Coturnix japonica: one gene and its partner. Each later gene encodes a partner of the first gene's protein in a complex. Links are inferred from orthologs where the notes say so. Each region holds a gene or a part of one and is shown in the gene's direction. Other genes may lie near its edges. The genes, in order: NSMCE1 and NSMCE2.

The links.
Region 2: NSMCE1 (region 1) and NSMCE2 share a complex: the UniProt entries of both Homo sapiens proteins name them as parts of the SMC5-SMC6 complex. The link is inferred for Coturnix japonica from reciprocal best matches to the Homo sapiens genes NSMCE1 and NSMCE2.

What each region holds. Positions count from the first base shown.
Region 1 is NC_029529.1:7,177,400-7,181,957, reverse strand, and holds the start of NSMCE1 (non-structural maintenance of chromosomes element 1 homolog), read left to right. Parts: upstream 1-1,495; 5' UTR 1,496-1,510; coding exon 1,511-1,634; intron 1,635-2,078; coding exon 2,079-2,200; intron 2,201-2,763; coding exon 2,764-2,841; intron 2,842-3,413; coding exon 3,414-3,560; intron 3,561-3,746; coding exon 3,747-3,863; intron 3,864-4,516; coding exon 4,517-4,558. Other genes in the region: IL4R (interleukin-4 receptor subunit alpha), read right to left, coding at 848-1,353, 1,446-1,454. UniProt on the Homo sapiens protein: RING-type zinc finger-containing E3 ubiquitin ligase that assembles with melanoma antigen protein (MAGE) to catalyze the direct transfer of ubiquitin from E2 ubiquitin-conjugating enzyme to a specific substrate.
Region 2 is NC_029517.1:125,030,705-125,035,215, forward strand, and holds the start of NSMCE2 (E3 SUMO-protein ligase NSE2), read left to right. Parts: upstream 1-1,463; 5' UTR 1,464-1,557; intron 1,558-3,857; 5' UTR 3,858-3,872; coding exon 3,873-4,005; intron 4,006-4,511. Other genes in the region: WASHC5 (WASH complex subunit 5), read right to left, coding at 1,098-1,283. UniProt on the Homo sapiens protein: E3 SUMO-protein ligase component of the SMC5-SMC6 complex, a complex involved in DNA double-strand break repair by homologous recombination. Is not be required for the stability of the complex.

The sequences.
Region 1 (4,558 bases):
ACAGTGATGAGATCCCCTTTCAGCCTTCTCTTCCCTGGGCTGAACAGCCCCAGGTCTCCTATCCCTCACTAGGTACTAGAGATGCTTCCAGGCTCTCATCACCCCCCAGGCCCTCTGCCAGCATCTCTCCAGGTGATCCCTGCCTTTCTTCAAGTGAGGAGCCCAGAACTGGGCACAACACCAGGACAACTTGGAGCAGAACACAGTGCTACCCTTGGAATTTATAAGCTCTAGGGAAGGAGCTGAGAGAGGCAGCAGCAATGAAAACATCACTTGGCCTCTGCGAGGGAAGAGGGAACCAACCTGCTGCTCCTCGTTGGCAAACCGGGAATCCACGCAGGCTGTCATGAGTGGGAGCTCAGCTCACACACGTGTTTTGTTCCTGGAGCCTTTTACACACGCGTCACTCCAACTTGCCCCATGAAACTGAGCATGGCGGAAACTCATCAGGGAACGCAGCCAGGGAAACTCCAGCAGGAAGGGGGGAGTCGGGGCTCAGCTCCCGGAACCGCTCGCCCTGCTCCACCGATTCTGCTATCTGCTTTCGAGCCTATCTCAAAGTGGCCTTAAGCTCTCTGAATACACACGGATTGGGACTAACTGTTAAAGAATGAAATCCGCCTTTCAGACAAACCTTCCTCATCCCTTCCGAGCAATTCTACTGCGGTAAATGCCCCGAAAGCGGCACACGCGGCCGGAGAACGGCGCTCAGTGACAGCGCTCAGCGCGGGGACCCCCGCAGCCCCGACGGGACCCTGGGCAGCCCCGGTCCGCTCAGCCCGGCCGGAGCAATGTCGGAACTGCCCACGGGACGGAGCTCCGGCAGCGGTTAATGAACAGCACTTACACACAACGCGGACCCACGGGGCTCCTCGGAGCGGCTCCAACTCCGCCGTCACGGGCAGCGCCGACAGCGGAACCGCCGCCCCAGGACGGGTATCGGCGGGTACCGGCACGCAGCGACGGGGACCGGACCGGACCTGCCGCCCTACACGGTCGGAGTCCACCGCGGAGAAATCCTGCCAAACCGAACCCGAAGCGAATCTCGACACCCCACCACCCCACCCTGCTTCCGCCGCCGGGCGGGGCCGGACCCCTCCCCGCCCCTCCGCTCAGCTCCCGCACCGCCCCCGCCCCGCACAGCCCGTCCCGGCCACAAGGGGGCGCCATCACCGCTGAGCGGAGGAGGCCGCGGAGATCGCTGAGCGGATCGATGGCAGGAGGGAGCGGCGAGAGCTGAGCTGATCGTCTTGGAAGGACGAGCAGACACAGGCCTTCCTGCTGCCATTCATCTCCACCTTCCTGCTGCCCTTCGTGTCCGACCTGGAGCCGCTGCACGGAGCACGGAGCAGGCTGTAAGAGCCAGAGGTTGAGGGGTGCGGGGGGGGGCAGCGGCCCAGTAATTAGGGAGTTGAATTGAAATGCTACTTGTGCTCAGAATGTACCTTGTTCATCTGCACGCTGTGTTAATTGCAGTTGATGTTTTGCAGCATCTGAAGCCTGGAGGAACATGGCAACGGCAGCTCAGATGTCTGATGCCCATCGAAGGTTCTTGCAGGTCCTGATGTCACACGGGATCATGGAGGGAGCGGAGGCGAGGAAATTACACAGGCACTGCTGTGAGATCAGCAAAGGTGGGTCATTATTCTGGAAAGAAACGTGGAGAGACGTGAGATTCTTTAGGTTATGTATGTTTAAAACATGGACATTAGTTACTCAGTGAAGCAGACCCCAGTACTCTGCTGCTTTTCCATAATAACATCAAGTTATGAGCTGCTGCTTAATGCCCAAAGTCGAGTTTTGGATGTAAACTTGGGAGAATGGTGCTGTTCCTGTGCCTGAATTGTGTCTTTGCTAAAACTTATACTATTTCATTTGCTTATGAAGTCGGACACACAATATTAAGTATGACTACAAAGCTAAGATGTTCTGTGGTAAGTTGGCTGGGTGTGCCAACTTACCACTAGTTTATGAATCAGAAAACAAAGAAACAAGGAATTTGTTGTTGATAAGAAATCAGTTACATTAATTGCACTTAATGGGCCTGTTTGAACTCTGTGTTTCTTTCTTATTTTCAGTCTACTATGCACAAGATAAACTGGATGATTTTGTCAGTACCATCAACAACCAGCTACAGCCTTTGTTCATGCAGATCCGGAAAGGAATGTCTGAAGTTGATGGGAAAACTCATTATGCCTTGGTAAGTATGTGAGGTGCTGCCATCTGGTGGTTTTAGCTTCTCATAACGAGTAACATGGATGGATACACTGCTGAGATTCTGCCATGTGTCTGATGTAACGTTAACCATTCAATAACGTGTTAATAAAAGCACAACAAAAGGTGGGTGAACTGGGCAAAAAACTGAACTGGAGCTAAGTGTTATCTTTGGATGTTAGTAAAATTGATTTATCTAGGATCTTTCCTTACAATGTAATACAACTCCTGCATTAGAACATAGAACAAAGGGCTACATCTGCCAGCATGAGATGTGCCCTTAGCACATCTTCATTTTTTGGGGGGCTGTTGCACTGTTATGCTGACAACAGCTGTGGAATCTACTTGTAGAGCAGGGAAGTGAGAAGATAAACTGCCAACAGTGTAAGTGTGTGGGAAGGGAACATGGCAGCAAAGCCCATACCAGCATCTGATTTATTTAGCAGGAATAGCCTCTTTCATGGCACTTAAAGAAATGATATTTCTGTTAATTTTAAGATGATGTATCCCTTATTTTGGAGGATCTTTCACTTTTTGTTTTTTTGCTAGGTGAATATGGCAGAAACTGAAATTACTAAAATGGCATCTGACTATGCAGAAAATGAACTCGAATTGTTCAGAAAAACAGTAAGTATGACTGATGTTAGTTAGTAAATAACATCATTTGTGAAGGCACTCTCTTAAAATGAATGGAAATCTGAGATGTGTTTCAAGAATTAGTTGCCTTCTTGCATATCGTAATTGAAATTTTATCCTAAGTGAAATGGGGCAGGGAGGGAAATGGGAATATATACAAGTAATGGTTCTCCTCTTAAAGAGAATTAGCTTTTTTAAATACTGTATTCTAATGTTTTATTTAATAAACTAGAAAGGGAGGTTATTGACTGTTCTGGGACAGCTGCTGCAGTGTCATCTAAACTGATACTATTCAGAATCCACACTGCCGTTATTGAGGTAGCATCTATACAGCCACGTCTGCGCTGCAGAGATGGTGTAATCATGGCACATATTACCACCAGCACATCAAGTCTGCTTTCTGCTCTGTGATAATGTGCAGCAGGAATGTTCCCAATGAGAGAAACTCTGAAAATTGGCAATTTATGCTTATGTTCAGATGCTGAAAAAGCTGTACATTACCATAAGGTGTGTCTATCTAATTGCACAGTCTTTTTAATAACTGAAAATGTCTCTTTCTATAGATGGATTTAATCATTTTATCAGAAAATGGTTTTGCCTCTTCTACGGATATTTTAAACTGTGCTGACCAACTGAAGACAAAGAAAATGAAGAAAAAGGAAGCGGAACAAGTGCTGAAAGTTTTTGTGGATGATAAGTGGCTCTCTGAGGTAACTGCTTTGTCTTTCTAAGTGCTTGTGCTTTAATAGGTTCAGATGTTATTTTCTCGTGGATGTTGTGGCAGAAGCAGAAAAAACCCCCTTGAATGTCAGGTGCTTGCTAAGAGGTGGTGAGAAAAGTCCAAAATGAAGAAAGGAACTAAGATATATTGCTAATCTCAGTTGTTGTTTCCACAGAGAAATGGGGAATATACTCTGCATACCCGCTGCATAATGGAGATGGAACAATACATTCTCAGCACCTACCCAGATATAGCAAAGAAGTGTAATATCTGTCACAGCCTTGCCATCCAGGTAATGCATCTGATTAACTCAGTATCTGCAAATGGGTTTCTTTCATAGTGGAAGCTTGTGACACTTTCCCTCAAGTATTAGGCAGGCAGTGAAAATTCCAACGTTGTAATCTGGTAATATTACGTTTATAATGTAGTATAATGTAAATAACTGTAATCTTCCATATGACACACATTCGACTTTGGTTGTGGGATTTCAGTTCAGGAATTGACCACCGTGGACTTGAGAATGAATGTGTATTTATACATAGTTTCCTAAAGCACTGTGTGATGATAGCTGGTAAGTTTCCAATTTAGTCTTGCATAAGAGATTAGAACCTGTTCTACAACGATTACATCCTCTTGCTCCTTGCCCTTGAATCTTCATCTTCCCAGCTTCCTTCCCTAACATTACTTTTTCCATCCTAATTGCTCTCATTTACTGCAGCCGAATAGCTCAGCATTTGTCTTTCAAGCTAAATTAAATCCACGTAGGAAAATGGCATTTCTTAGCTTCCTGAAGAATAATTCCCGTCGTGCTTTGCCAGCCTTGATTTCTGAGTGTCCTTCAACTGTAACTTGTGAACTGCTGATGGGTATAAACTCATTTATTTGTAGCCTTTTGTGATGGCAGGGCAGATTAGAAAGCTTTGCTAGTAACACTTCTGATTTCAGAGCCAAGCATGCGAAACCTGTGGGACTGGAATGCATTTACCT
Region 2 (4,511 bases), on another chromosome or scaffold:
AAAGAATAAGCTACAGATAACCAAAGGAAGATGGGCATACTGCCCACAGTACTGCTCCAGAAAACCCAACCCACTGCACAGGCTCAGAACCTGGTGGTGAAAGCAACATTTAGAGTTACTTCAGGAATAACATCCAAGAAGAAAACCCACAACTCAAGTCTTATATGAGCAGTATTTGCCAAAACTCACAGGCCAGATGACTCCTCATACATCTGAAAGACTGTTCTTCTACATAATATACACAAAATTGTAACTCCCTTTTAGCACTAAAACTATGTGTGGGTACTAGTTATACTGCTATTCTGCCCAGGTGCCTGAGAACAGAGCACTCACCAGACTCCTCCTCAATTAAAGTAAGATTAGACTAAGTATGACCAAAACTATACAAAATGAAGGACAGCCCAAAACTGGAGTGTTTGTATGCGAGCACATCCCAGTTACTACCTCAGTTTGGTAAATCTTTGGTAAGCACAAAGCAAATCACAGAAGTTAGATAAGACCATGAAGGTCACCTAACCATCACACCCACTAAACCATGTTCCATGGTACCACATCTACCCTGTTCTTCAGAACCTCCAGGGACAGGGACTGCGCCACCTCCCTGGGCAGCCTGTGCCAATCCCTCATCACTCTTTCTGGGAAGAATTCTTTCCTAATATTCAGCTTGAACCTTCACTGGTGCAACATGAGCCTGTTAAAAACCTGTCAGCCTATCACTGTTACCTGGGAGGATGACTCCCACCCCACCACAATCTCCTTTCAGGCTGTTGTAGACAGCAATAAGGTCTCCCCTGATCCTCCTCTTCCATGACTGAACAATCTCAGTTCCCTTCTCTGCTCCCCATAAGATTTGTGCCCTTCTCTGGGCACATTCCAGGACCTCAATGTCTGTCTTGTAGGGACTGAGCACAGTACTCGAGGTGAGGCCCCACAAGTGCTGAGTACAGGGGGACTGCAGCAATAACAGGTCACTACGGTCAATTCTGAAGCTTATTAGTAATAAACACGATAGTCAGGTATTGGCTTTGTAAGCCTTATGTTCTACCAGGACAACAACGCTTTACAGAGAAGTTTACCAACAGAAGAAAGGGGTTTACCTTAAAGTAACTGAAATCAAAGATGATGTCTCCATACTTCTGTTGATCAGCCTTGTCCTTCAGCCTGAAAACCCCGGGGATGAATTCGGAAAGCCTTAAGAGCTCTGCAATGATCGCATTGCCACAGGAGACGATCCGAAGAATCGCCTGACCACACAGATTGTTTTCAGCAAGGAAATCCACCATTGTGGAGCTGGATGCGGACACACAGCACGAGTCCTGCTGCCTGTTTTTGACTGTCGGCTTTTAGGTCATTGGGCGAAGGAATTCTAATGAGAAAACGGGCTCATAACAAAAAACAGGAGCGGCGGAGGCAGCAGGTGAGCGGGGCAGGCGGCGGAACGGCTCGGCCCAGCCCCATCACATGACGGCGGCGTCGCGCAGAGGCGCGGGATGATGAGGCGGTTCCGCCGATCGCTCCGCCCCGCTGCCTCGGTCAGGCCTCGGCGGAGGGGACGAGGTGAGCGGCCGGTGCCCCGGGGGGCTCGGCTGTCTGCTTTGAGGATGGGGGGTGAGGGGGGGGTTGGGAAGCGGGGCTCGGTGCCGTTTCGGGTGAACCTAATGAGGTTCAACACGGCAAAGTGCAAGGTTTTGCACTTGGGCCGGAAGAACCCCAGGCACCTGTACAGGCTGGGAGGAGTGGTCCTTGAGAGCAGCTCGGCAGAGAAGGACCTGGGGGTCCTGATGGACGAGAGACTCAACATGAGCCAGCAGTGCGCTCTGGCAGCCCGGAAAGCAAATGGGATCCTGGGCTCCATCAGGAGAGGGGTGGTCAGCAGGGATAGGGAGGTGATTGTCCGTCTCTACTCTGCTCTTGTGAGGCCCCATCTGGAGTACTGTGTCCAGGTGTGGAGCCCTCAGTACAAGAAAGATATGGAGATTTTGGAAAGGGTCCAGAGGAGGGACAGGAAGATGATCAGGGGGCTGGAGCACCTCCCCTATGAGGACAGGCTGAGGGAGTTGGGTTTGTTCAGCCTGGAGAAGAGAAGGTTGCGGGGTGACCTCATTGCAGCCTTTCAATACCTGAAGGGAACTTACTCCCAGGAGGGGAGTAAACTCTTGGAAAGGGCTGATAATAGCAGGACTCGGGGAAATGGTTTTAAGTTAAAAGAGGGAAGATTTTGGTTGGATGTTAGGGGGGAGTTTTTCACTAGGAGAGTGGTTAGGCCCTGGAACAGGCTGCCCAGGGAGGTTGTGGGTGCCCCGTCCTTGGAGGTGTTCAAGACCAGGTTGGACGGGGCCCTGGGCAACCTGATCTAGTAAAGGTGTATGTTTGGTGGCCCTGCCAGGCAGGGAGGTTGGAACTACATGATCCTTGGGGTCTCTTCCATCCCAAGCCATTCTAGGATTCCATGGTTCTATGACTATTGGATTGTTTTTGTCAAAAGAACAAAAACAACTGACTTTCTACTCTCACTTTTTCAGATCAGTTTGCCTCATTATATTTTCCAGAAGTGAGGTGTAAACAGCAACAACAGTGTTGTCTGAGTGTACTTAAATTGCCTTCCAAAGTCGACTTGAGATGTCTAACTCCCAGTGCAGTGGTGTGATGTAGCAGTGTAAATGACAACTGTAGCTCCCATATAGTTTGGTCAGTGCTTCCACAAATACGAAGAGAATGAAGAAGCCTGTTTAATTCTTCACTACTTCTTTGTTTCTTATCCCAGAGAAGACAGCGTGACAGCAGGTGTTCAGGTCTTATAATTTGCATGATCATGAGGAACGTAGCAATGTTGTTCACTTTAGGATGAGTGCAAGAGTTAGTTATGGAATCCCAGGGTAAGTAGAAGAGGGAGATGCCAGTGTGAAAGGCTTGGGGCAAAGCTTTGTCCTTATATCTGTTGGATTTTGGCCTTTCACAAGCTATTGTTCATACAGCAACTCATTCTCTTGTCATTTTGTGTACCGTTTTGATAAAATTTCTACTATAAATCAATTTTGGTTGTGGGTTCTTTTCTCTTCCTGCTCCCCAGTATGGTCTCAGCGTAACTGTTGGAAATCCTAGTTACTATTTACATAAAGATGATTTACTGTTAAATGCATTATTAGATAAGTTGCCCTTTATTTTTTTCCAAGTAATAGCTGTTGTAACAGGCTTGTTGGAGGGGCTGAATTTGATGTGGAAAGTCATAGTTCTTGTTAGCGTAGCTGATAACGTGTCTAGAAAACAGGCTGACTTTTGGGTACGTGGACTTTTTTTGGATCTGAAGTTGAGCGGTAATTTTCAGGCTAACATCTATGAGGTTTTGCAATAGAAATAAGCAGGTGAAAACTGCAAGTTGCTTCTTGTGGTGCAGCTGAGCTTAATTTTGAATAAGAAGGATAAAAACCCCTTTGGTGATTTGCAGTACCACTTACACTTAGGACAAGGGGGAATGGTTTTTAAACTAAGACAGGGGAGGTTTAGGTTAGATATTAGGAGTTTTTTCACACAGAGTGTGGTGACACACTGGAACAGGTTGCCCAAGGAGGTTGTGGATGCCCCATCCCTGGAGGCATTCAAGGCCAGGCTGGATGTGGCTCTGGGCAGCCTGGTCTGGTGGTTGGTGACCCTGCACATGGCAGGGGGGTTGAAACTATATGATCACTGTGTTCCTTTTCAACCCAGGCCATTCTATGATTCTGTGATTTATCCTTGCTCTCTGATGTTTCAGCGGTCCTGTTAACCGTGCTTAATGGTGAGCTATCTGCAGTTCGGTTTTCTCCCCAAAATTCTTTGGATGTAAACTACACTCAAAATGTTTTGTCTCTTACTTCTAGGGTAACAACTCCAAGATGTTGAGGGGTACAAGGATCTCGTTCAGCTCCGTGAATTCCTCTCTCTCATCTCTGAAAAGCTGCCAGACTTACATAAATACTGGAATGGATATTGCTACCCACGTTGCCCTTGACCTGGTGGAAAATTTCAGTAAGTAATTCCTCTGAGTATATTCTTTTGTATTGCATCCTGAATTAATCCTGGGCCTGCATACTTTGATTTATTTATAATCATTTGTCTTCATTGTGGGAGCTGTTGCTCTTCTGGCTTTACTGAGTGTTTTCATTCCAGTCACCTAATTGTCTTCAATAACAAATTCAATGAGAATAGAATTACCAAGCAAACATTGTCCCAGCTTTTGTAACACCCAAGACTAATTACATTCTGGTGCTCATTATCCAACTACTTTGTAAAAAATTCATTATTGCTGTACAAGATGCAGAAGACCTCTTAAGGTGAATAAAACCACTTTTCTTTCTAATACTGCTTCCTTGTGTGTGTTTTATTTAATGTTTAGGGCAAGACTTTAGAACTGCTAATGATTTGGAGTACAGAGCTTGAGACACTTGTTAAGGGATGCAGCTTTTTAAAATGCTGTCTTGTTTCTCTGATGAGAGACAGAGAACCTTCAATCTCTCATCTCTTGTAATGGTCTT